Linked DNA regions of Rattus norvegicus. The main gene of each other region encodes a partner of the protein of the gene in region 2 in a complex. Links are inferred from orthologs where the notes say so. Each region holds a gene or a part of one and is shown on either strand. Other genes may lie near its edges.

Region 1 (3,655 bases), on a different chromosome or scaffold from region 2:
GAACATCTTTTCACAAAGTGCTACCCCTCAGGTCAGATAAAAGTTAGATGGGACAAGATGGAGACTGAGACGCCATGGCCGTTCTCAGATAAGTAGAGGAAGCATGTTTCAACAAAATTATCCCTGAAACCAGACTGCAATAGCCGAAACAAGATAAGGTTACCAAAAAGAAAAACAAGGCAATAAAAAGGTCTGTGTGTGTGTGTGTGTGTGTGTGTCTGTGTGTGTGTGTGTCTGTGTCTGTGTGTGTGTGTGTCTGTGTGTGTGTGTGTCTGTGTCTGTGTGTGTGTGTGTCTGTGTCTGTGTGTGTGTGTCTGTGTCTGTGTGTGTGTGTGTCTGTGTGTGTGTGTGTGTGTGCCTGTGTCTGTGTGTGTGTGTGTCTGTGTCTGTGTGTGTGTGTGTCTGTGTCTGTGTGTGTGTGTGTCTGTGTCTGTGTGTGTGTGTCTGTGTCTGTGTGTGTGTGTGTGTCTGTGTCTGTGTCTGTGTGTGTGTCTGTGTGTGTGTGTGTGTGTCTGTGTCTGTGTGTGTGTGTGTGTGTGTCTGTGTGTGGTGTGGGTGTGTTACAATTTTCTTGGTTAGGAGAAAATTAAACATAAATAAGGGAAGAAAAGTTTAGCAATTAAAAGAGTTAGATATTAATAGTATTTCACATGAAAATAAAACAAACAAGAAATTCTGAGGGGTTGGGGATTTAGCTCAGTGGTAGAGCGCTTGCCTAGCAAGCACAGGGCCCTGGGTTCGGTCCCCAGCTCCGAAAAAAAAGAAAAAAAAAAAAAAAAAAGAAATTCTGAGATAGAAACAGAAATAACATTTATTAAGGTTTCTGTAGCAGGCCCTATCCTAAGAGCTATATACAGATACTGAATAATTTTACTGTCACCCAGTGAGACAGACATCACAGTTCATCATAAATTTGAGGGACTTAGGAAAAGAAAGTGAGGAGGATGGGAAAGAGGTGATGTGACTGAGCTGCTCCAACTGTCCCCCATGTGCCAGGCAGCACACCCAGCATCCTCACACAGGCACTCACTGAGTCCTCACACCGGTGCTACAAACATAAGCATTCGCTAGGATCACCAGTACCTCACAGACGAATCAGCTTCCTCAGAATTATTCTGAGGGAAAAATATTGTACTTCTATGGTCTAGGCTCTGAAGGAAAAAATAGAATAATGTTGTACTTCATTTTTTTATGACTGGAAAAGTTAACCTGCAAGCATTGTAAAGCCGAGAGCTCTTACCGTCAGCAGAATAATGCTGGGTGGTTTCATGGGGTACTCTGGTGGCAGTACTATGCGTCCATGATAAACTCCTCCATCAAAATCGGAATCTGGGGGCCCTCTAACTGTGAAGTGCCATTCAAAAAGGTTATCCTAAACAAAATCAAGAATCCAGAGAATCAAGAACATTTAAAAATATTATCATTTTTATCAATAGTAACATTAAAAATGCCAGGTGAGGAAAATCAAAAGCTTTCTAATAGTGCTATAATAGTTTCTAGTGCTCAAAATGCCTCAAAAGTCACAAGTAAAATGTATTATTTATTTATTTGTTTACTTATTTACTTATTATCTGTAAGTACACTGAGACACCAGAAGAGGGCGTCAGATCTCATTACAGATGGTTATGAGCCACCATGTGGTTGCTGGGATTTGAACTCAGGACCTCTGGTAGGGCAGTCAGTGCTCCTAACCACTGAGCCATCTCTCCAGCCCCTAAAATGTATTATTTAATGTAAATTTTATGTCTTATAAAAGCTAAAAACTTTTTAAATAATTTAAAGTGTCTGAGTCCTATTATACACTCATAAATAAGATTAATTTAATTAACTATCAATTAGTGAAAATATGGTCAAATCATTAGTATAAATTTGAGTTATTTTAACAAACCTTTAAAAAGTATTCTCCAGTATGTATAACTGGTTAGTAATATTAACAGACTAGCTATATGTCCTTACAGGGTTAACAAGTTACCATTCTAAGTGCAAAGTTCTTATTCACTGTAACGTGTGTACTTCACGATCACTGTGGAAATCTGAGCATGCCCACTGGCATCCTCCTTTCACAGATGAAAACACAAGAGCCAGGACAGCTGCAGGGACCCCTGAAGGATCGGTCTTCTTACTATACAGTGTCTGCGATTCTGTCTGCTCCGCTTGCTCCCTCCCTCCCTCAGCACTGAACACCAGGTTAGCATCTGAAACCCTCTGACAGAGTCCCTGAGTCAGCACTGCCTAAGGAGTCTGATGAAAGGCTAATGAAACACTCAGGAAACAGAAAAGGTACATCAATAAACAAGCACACCATTAACTACGCAAGCAAAGGAAACGCAGCTCTAAGGCTATCCTGATACCGCAGGGCTGCCGTCCTGAGGAGGACGGAGACAAACTAACCTCCAGAGGCTGAGCGTGGTAATGATCTGTTGGATCTTTCAATTCTGCGGCTTCTTTCATCAATCGTTTAACAGCTAAAAGAAAACCCATGAAGTGGAGATCGTTAGAATATACTTTTTTAAGTGATCCGCAAAGACTAATAAAAAAAACTTCTAGCCAGGAATGATGGCACGCACCTTTAATCCCAGCTCTGAGGGGGCAGAGGCAGGTGATCTCTGAGTTCGAGGCCAGCCTGGAACACAGAGAGTAGGCAGAAAGAAGAAAACAAAGGGTTAGGTACAAGCTCTTGAAATCAAGTAGTTTAAAAATCAAGCAGACAAAAAGCAGGTAGCCTACAGACCTTAGCGAGGCATTTCTCAATTAAGGCTCCTTCCTCCCTGACGATTTCATGTCAGGTTGACATAAAATCAGCCAGTACAAAAAATTTTTTTAAAGGACTGAAATCTTCTTGCATTACTTTTCCTGTTGCTGTAATAAATACCCTGACTAAAGCATCTCAAAGATGGTCCATCCTCACCCACAATTCCTCATGGTGGGAAATCATGCAAAGCTAGCAGATCACACATATGCAGAGTTGGAAACACAGAGATGAGTGCAGTACTCAGTCCATGTTGCCCTTTTCTATCAGTCTACAACTTCAGGCCATGAATAATGCTTCCCACAGCTAAGATTACTTTAATCTCACACTGGAAATACTCAGAGGCTCATCTCCTGGGTGATTCCTAGTACTCACGTGGAGGATCACAATCTAGTTCCAGGGATCCAATGCCCTTTTCTGACATCAATGAACACTAAGCTCACATAGTACACACACACATATTCAAACAAAACATTCCTACACATAAAAATAAAAACAAACAACTAAAGCAAAATGAACAAACAATACATATTTGAAGAATATCGGAGTGGAGACAGAAAAAGAATAACTTCCTGCCTTAACAAGCTTACAGCAATTAGAAGACTTGAAAAAACTTAAAGGCATTGTGACAGTATGGACCAGGTGTGAAGGACTACCTACAGGAGCTGAGAAGGCTGGACCGAATAGAAGCTAGAAGAGGGAACAGGGATTCCAGCCAGGCTCAGTGGAAAGCTCTCCAACAGAGGACCCAACAGAGATGGAGACATACCATTGCAGAGTGGCTCTGCTGGAAATGCCTAAGAGAGGCAGAAGGAGCTGGAAAGGAAAGCAAGGGTTAAGCCTTACCAACCTAACTCAGAGCTGCTAAGTGATTACTGCTCAAACACTGTCAGTTTGACAAGAGAT
Region 2 (3,655 bases):
GGCAGGGCGTCGTGGAGACCGGGCTCTCTCCGCAAGCTAGGCAGCACTAAACATCACATCTATAAAACGTCTTTTTCTGAGGAGAGCTCTATGGCAAAGCTTATCCGGAACTAATTCTACATCAATACCCAAGTCTTGAAGCTGCTATCATTTCCACCCTACTACATCCAGGACCACAAAGAACAGGGCTCCAGGAGTCAGGAAGACACACCCATCTCTCCATTTGGCACTGTACAGCCATGATGGGATTTCTCTCCATCCCCCACCCACAGCCGGAGTAAGACTCACTATTGCATGTAGTACTGTCTTGCATAGATCTGCTGGAACCAGGAGAGCTGCAGCCACCCGTAGGTGGTGTAGCCAGAGAAGCCGGGCCCGAGGCCTTGGAAAGTCTGCTGGACGGCTTCAGGCCTATACGCAGGGTCAAACGAAAGAGCACTTTGAGTTGGTTGGGAACGACGACCTTGATACTAAATTACAATCAGCAATAATAAATAGTTAAAGAGACAGGACAGACAACACAATAGTCAACTCTACGATGTGTCCTATATGTTGAGGACAGCAGCACCGTGGCTCATCAGATCCCATGGGAAACATGAGCTCCGTCCGGCCCTGGCAGGGGGAGGCTGCGTGCTTTCTGCACAGCTGTGCTGACAGGCTAATGCTTTCCCTCTCAAGCCTCACTCGGGGTTAAATCCACGGATCGTGCTTTAGAGGGGAGTGCTCAAACCACATTGCCAAGTCCATCCTGAAAGAACTCTGTCGTGCCCCGACCCCAGGTAAAAATCCACACTGTGGCAGTTCTGAGTGCCGTGACAACCCTCCCTGTGTTTGCAGCTCATCTGGTCCCTCACACAGGTTGTTGCAGGAGCTCAGAAGCCAAAGGAGCAGGCTGGACTCTTGGACACATTTGTGCCGTGCCAGACCCGCTTCTTCAGGCAAGGAACAGCCTTCGCTTGCCGGGAGCAGGCAATGAGAAGCTAAGGGCTGTGCCCTCTCCCTCCCGCTCCCCTTTCTCTGTGCAGCCCTGGCTGTCCTGGACTCCATCTGTAGACCAGACTGGCCTCCAACTCAGAGATCTGCCTGCCTCTGCCTCCTGGATTCTAGGACTAAAGCGTACGCACCCACTGCCTGGCAGGCTGCGCAAGTCTTAATCAATTAGGACAGGTCAGAGGAGGACATGAGAAGGAGGAAGCCCCACAGTCTAGAACCTGTTACATTCCTTACCAGTTAGGAACCAAGAAACCTCGATACGACTGATAAAATACAAACCGCATAGAAATAAATGCTTCTGCTCCTAAAAAGACATCACAGTAAGGATGTCCAGAACAATAAACCATCTTGTGTTGGGCCAGAATGTTCCTGACCTGAGGTTTAAGTTATTATAATACTTATTCCTTCTTATCCCTGAATCAAATGATGCGCCTCAAAAACTTATTTCATTTATGGAAGTAAAGTCTCCAAGAGGAAAAAATAAAACAACTTGTTTATTTGCATTTGATCGTTAAGCTCTGCCTCACCTTTATCCTCAGATCTCATCACAGATTATAGCTTTTCAACACTGTAGCTTAACGCCACAGGGACAGGACTGGTCAACTGGGTCCATTTACGGGTTAAACAACCCGTGTTTTTGCCTCATATACCTACTTTTAAAAATATACCTCAAGAGACTAATATTAAAAAATCCACGAGGTCTTTAGACTGAAGCCATCTTGTACGTCCTGAAGTTCACATTGTACCAATTCGTTTTTCAAGACAGGGTTTCTTGGTGTAGCCCTGCATGTCCTGGAACTTGATCTGTAGACCAGGGTGGCCTCCAACACAGAGATCTGCCTGCCTCTGCCTCCTGAGGGCTGGGATCAAAGGCATGCGCCAGGATGCCCAGCTTAAACACACCTTATTTTTCAATTGACACAAATGAAGTACGACTGTTTTCTGCATGGACACTCACCTAGAGACGTTCTCCCATCCAGAGGGAGGAAGGTTCCGAAGGACTTCCCTTTCCCGTAAGCCATCGCTTGAGGAATCCCCAGGATACTGTGCCTGACTAGTGTTGTCCGGCTGCTCTGTGGACTCAGCACCCTAAAGCGAGTAACACAAATGTCAGAACAAAGGGCCCGATGCAACTGTTGGCAATCAGGCTAATTATTTTGCCACCAAGTGACTGATGTCCCTGTCCCCGCCCCTCAGCCTGACAAAATTAAGTGCAATGTCATAGGAAGATTCTGAATTTGTTCATTGCAACAATTGTGAACACACAGAAGCTAGAGCTGAGGAAAGGTAGCTCAGTGGTAGACCTCTCCCTTGCCTGCATGAGGCCCTGGGTTCGAGCCCCAGCAAAAACTCTCTATACGGACACCAATACACACACACACATACACACATGCAAAATAAAAAGGATAATCCATGTTTTTCTCTAAGAATAACTACGGTTGTCACAGGAAAATATTGTGACTACAGCTACCACTACTGAGAAAGCTTCCCACTAATGCTAACATGTATGTTGTGGAACCCAGTAGGTCTAGAAATCAAATGTGACACATAACTAGGCAGCAACGTAAAGGAAAGAGAATTCCCGTGTGACACTCAGAAGTTGCAGGAAATACAAGTGAACTACAAATGTAAGTCAAGTACCACTCTAGAAGGGGTGTAGTGTTCACATAAGCAGATGTTGTCGAGAGGAAGAGCAAATGTGTTTCACTGTCAAACCAAAGTCTTTAGAGATCATGTAATGAAGACTGTGGTCTATTCCTACCCAAGTAATCATGACAGAAATTTCCATAGGAAATATGTTTATGGCTCTACTCTTTATAAAATTAATATTCCTAGCCAGGTGGTTGTGACACATGCTTTTAACCTCAGCACTCAGGAGGCAGACGCCAGGCAGGACTTTGGGAGTTTGAGGTCAACCTGATCTGCAGAGTGAGTTCCAGGACAGCTGGGGGTACATAGAGAGACCTACACAGAGAGACCCTGTCTTGAAAATAAATAAATAAAGTCCCTTAGAGAAACGTGTTCATTTCTGTAAACACCACTTTCATCTGCCATCCTGGGCAAACGGTGACCTCAGGTCAAAGGCGTGACTTTGCTTTTGCACACGGCATGCATATGGCAGTCTGCTTTCTACTATGCCCAGTGGTAAGCACTGAGGGTTACCACTCAGCCCTCGCTCTACTGAGAACACAGCCTCTAAGTTCTGGCATGCCTTGGGGGAAACACCATAACATCTTTTTTTTTTTTTTTCCGGAGCTGGGGACCGAACCCAGGGCCTTGCGCTTCCTAGGCAAGCGCTCTACCACTGAGCTAAATCCCCAACCCCAACACCATAACATCTTAAGTTTCACTCAACTTCCTTTCTCCCTCCCTTGGGAATCAGAGACACAGGTAGCTGTTATCATGAAAAGGCACCATACCTTTGTGCTGGCTTCTGGCTTTTTTGAGGGACTCCTCACATTGCACACGAGGTGCAAAACATGTCGCTTTTCCTGCTGAATGGAACAAGAGACACTTCAGGACCTGAATTCCAACTGCCAGAGCTTGACCACACCCCAAGGCAAGAGCTAAGGATGACAGATACCTTTGGAAGCAAGTCTTGGAGACATTGGTGATCCAACAGCAGCTTCCCAGAATAAATTAACCTCTGGTCCTCTGGGCG
Region 3 (3,340 bases), on a different chromosome or scaffold from region 2:
AGCTCTAGTCTTCTATATAGCTTTCTTTAGAATAGAACAGGCAGTTGGACTATATTGTTTGAAAACGTGTGTAGACATCTGACTTGCTGCTTCTGCTTGTTTCCTTTAGGTCCACCATTCGAGCTTTGATCAAGAATTTTTCTATTGCTTCTTTTTTCCCTGCTTTCATCACATTGCTGTTTTTTCAGCATAATCGAACAGCCTATGACATTGTAGCAGGAACCATTGTGGTAAAAAGAAATGGGGTCAGATGATGCCCCAAAACCCTGAATTCCACTCTTAGGAATAATGACAAGACTAAATTATGTATCAAGGCCAACATTATCTCTGCGTTACATTAGCTGATGATTTAAAAATTAAAGCAGTCACTCTGGTGTGGTGCAGGGGACTGTTCTGAAAGTGTTGACTGTACTTAAATGTCAAGGAACTTTTCCGGAAGGAAAAACTATTAAATTCAAGTGTTAAATATTTATAGGACAACAAAAGTTTCATAATCAATATATAGGTAAATACATACTTTAACATTTAAGATAACCAAAATTTGCTGGAAGCATTTTCAGCTTTAAATTCTCTAAATCAAACTTTAAATTTTGGCTTATCCTAGCGTGATTGAGAAATATCCAATTGTGTTTTATAAACACCTGCAGAACTCCCTCAACTCTTCTTACAGACCCTGCTGCTTATGAGCATTGAGAAAGAGCATCAACTCAATAACCCACTTACTCCCTGGGAGAAGAGGGAACGTGAGGAAGACCTAGGAGTCCCTCATCCCACACTTCCAGGATAGTCTAGTTTGGTGCAGTAGTGGCGGGATATTTCAGTTTCTTACTGCTTATGTATTTGGAGGCAAGATTTTCATGATGATGAAAATGTACTGAGTCATATATCATTGATATTTTAAAAAGGTAAGTTAGTGATTGCCTTCTGGGGGGGAGGGGTTCATTGTAAATTCACATACCCTAAAATCCAACCATAAATACGTGGGAGGAATATCCATCGAACATTCCCAGTGTGTGTTCTCCAGCGTTCTGAATGTACCTGTAGATTCTCTATGTACAGCAAATCCCTAATGCACTGCTATGTTCTCTACAGTGCCATAACTGTAAAACATCAGGTGTTAGAGTGTATTTTGTGACTAACTTAAATACTACCAGGTTCCCATTATGAACTGTTGTTTCATCATCTGTGGACTTTAGCTTCTTTGAGCTCATCTTGGTTGTAGTATCATTGTACTTTGCTCTCTGTTGGAGAAACAATTGGGTTTATGTCTGTGTGCTTTTGTTATGTCACAGTCAGCTAGCTGTACCAAATGTTAGTTTAAAACTTTACTTCTTACTCATTGTTGCATCTGATTTTCCCAAAAAACACTAAATTGTATTGCACAAGAGAGCAGTCTTTGTTCCTGGGTTTTAAACAGCAAGAGCATGCCATGTGTTGTTATATCAATCTTAAGTGAGCTTTTTTTTTTTGACATTTAAAACTGTGAAAATGCATTTAATGTCTAGATAACTTTTAAATATCTCCTAATAGCTCATTGTTCATCAACCATGGTTTCTTCTGGTAAATAATTTTATTTAAATAAAACTTCACAGGAAGCCTACTATTTGTCAAGAGCAGTACATAGAGCATGTACTTGTGGCTCTGGCAAGACTTTAAAAAGCTCTTCTTACTCCACACTACAAATCAGGAAGCTGCTGCGAACGCCTGCCACTGAACCTGCACTGACACAATTCAAGTTGAAATGCGCTTCACCCACACAGCTCTGGAGTACTGATTATTGTTTCTACTCCAATTATTGTAGTTTTCACTGAGGATATTTTTATTTATACAGTAAAATAAGTAGTTAAATTTGTTATAAATACTGCAGTTTGCTAGACAAGTTCTTTAGATCCAGCTGTGGATTCAAGCTGTGCCATATAGGATGTAATAAAGTATTGCTTTGCCTCCACAATAGCACCTCAATCTGGTGTAAGGAGAAAGGGAATCTGGCACTTTTTTCCTCATAGGGTTATGTAATGGAGCATGTGAATGAAGAATTTACAGAAATACTAATTTCCTGTGTCAAAGTGTAATTCTCATGCTGAAGCTGTATCCTAAAAGGGCAAAATGAAGTTGAGAAATGAAGACATTCTTCATGAGCATGCCCTAACCCGAAACATCAGGACTGGAGTCTTGCTGCCGCATTGCCATTTAGTTTAAATAGCTGGCACGTGATTAAGGCACTGAGTCTCAGTACTCACCGCTGAGTGTGTTCTGAAGTAGGATATTCTACACTCTGGGTAACAGCACGATGAGCAGCCTTACTGAGTATTCTTCGTGACCGTAACAAACACATGCCCCTTCAGTGTTCACTGCTTGCTCCTGCCTACAAAGCACGTACTCCATTGCCATGCCTGACCAGTGACTGTTTCACTGTAGTACACGTCTGTTTCTGGCAAGGAGGAGAAAGGAGTTGAAATTTTGCATTTGCAATTTGGGTTTCTGAAGGAAGATGGGGCATTAAACTTTCATTATCTCTTTGAGGACAATGCCTAGATTAACAGTATTCCTAAACTCTCGACAGGTACTGGTTCAGCTCCTTGTCATCCTCCATTTGCATAACCAAAGACCAAAGTCCTGACTCGTGCCTGGCTGGTATGCGTAGGTTTCCTTGTAGTTCACTATAGTAGGACTTGCCCTGCAAACAGTATCTAATGGCTCACGTATAATAAACAAAACATTCTATTTTTAATATTTGTATGTCACCAGTTTGTACTTTATGTCTCAATAAATACTTAATCAGTGTCAAGAGTGTTGTCTCTGCCTATTGCTGCAGTGGATTAAACTATGTTCTTTAATAGGCCTGGAGCTGTGGTTCAGTGATAGAACCTACACTATCCAAATACCTATGAAAAATCCCTTAAGAAGTACAAGTTGGGGTTGGGGATTTAGCTCAGTGGTAGAGCGCAAGGTCCTGGGTTCGGTCCCCAGCTCTGGGGGGAAAAAAAAAGTACAAGTTACCTGCACATGAGCTCAGCTTCATGTTAAATTCACTCAGAGCTGTTAGCCATTACAACAGTATCAGATGGGAAAAGCCCATTTCCTCAAGGGCAGTTATCTGAGTGTGGTAATTCCACTGTGTAGGAATATTGCTGCAAATTTAATGCCAGCCTGGACTACAGTATAAGACCCTATCTTTAGGAATTAAACTGTGCTGCTCTGGACAAAGTACTAGTAGTCTAAGCCAAGCTGTCAATATGTGACCCATATTTGGGGGCCACAGTGGATTTCAGAGGCATAAAAGTCAAGTGAGAAGGGAACACCACTCCATATTACAAAGAAATGACTAACTTGGTCTTAT

What was found.
Region 1: Herpud1 (region 2) and Ube2j1 share a complex: the UniProt entries of both Homo sapiens proteins name them as parts of the HRD1 complex. The link is inferred for Rattus norvegicus from reciprocal best matches to the Homo sapiens genes HERPUD1 and UBE2J1.
Region 3: Herpud1 (region 2) and Fam8a1 share a complex: the UniProt entries of both Homo sapiens proteins name them as parts of the HRD1 complex. The link is inferred for Rattus norvegicus from reciprocal best matches to the Homo sapiens genes HERPUD1 and FAM8A1.

What each region holds. Positions count from the first base shown.
Region 1 is NC_086023.1:52,221,702-52,225,356, reverse strand, and holds part of Ube2j1 (ubiquitin-conjugating enzyme E2 J1), read right to left. Parts: intron 2,624-3,655; exon of another isoform or gene 2,568-2,623; intron 2,466-2,567; coding exon 2,392-2,465; intron 1,373-2,391; coding exon 1,241-1,372; intron 1-1,240. UniProt on the Homo sapiens protein: Catalyzes the covalent attachment of ubiquitin to other proteins. Functions in the selective degradation of misfolded membrane proteins from the endoplasmic reticulum (ERAD) and is essential for cells to recover from ER stress.
Region 2 is NC_086037.1:10,608,139-10,611,793, forward strand, and holds part of Herpud1 (homocysteine-responsive endoplasmic reticulum-resident ubiquitin-like domain member 1 protein), read right to left. Parts: coding exon 3,578-3,655; intron 3,489-3,577; coding exon 3,414-3,488; intron 2,083-3,413; coding exon 1,952-2,082; intron 412-1,951; coding exon 289-411; intron 1-288. UniProt on the Homo sapiens protein: Component of the endoplasmic reticulum quality control (ERQC) system also called ER-associated degradation (ERAD) involved in ubiquitin-dependent degradation of misfolded endoplasmic reticulum proteins.
Region 3 is NC_086035.1:18,232,284-18,235,623, reverse strand, and holds the end of Fam8a1 (protein FAM8A1), read left to right. Parts: intron 1-109; coding exon 110-254; 3' UTR 255-2,790; downstream 2,791-3,340. UniProt on the Homo sapiens protein: Plays a role in the assembly of the HRD1 complex, a complex involved in the ubiquitin-proteasome-dependent process of ER-associated degradation (ERAD).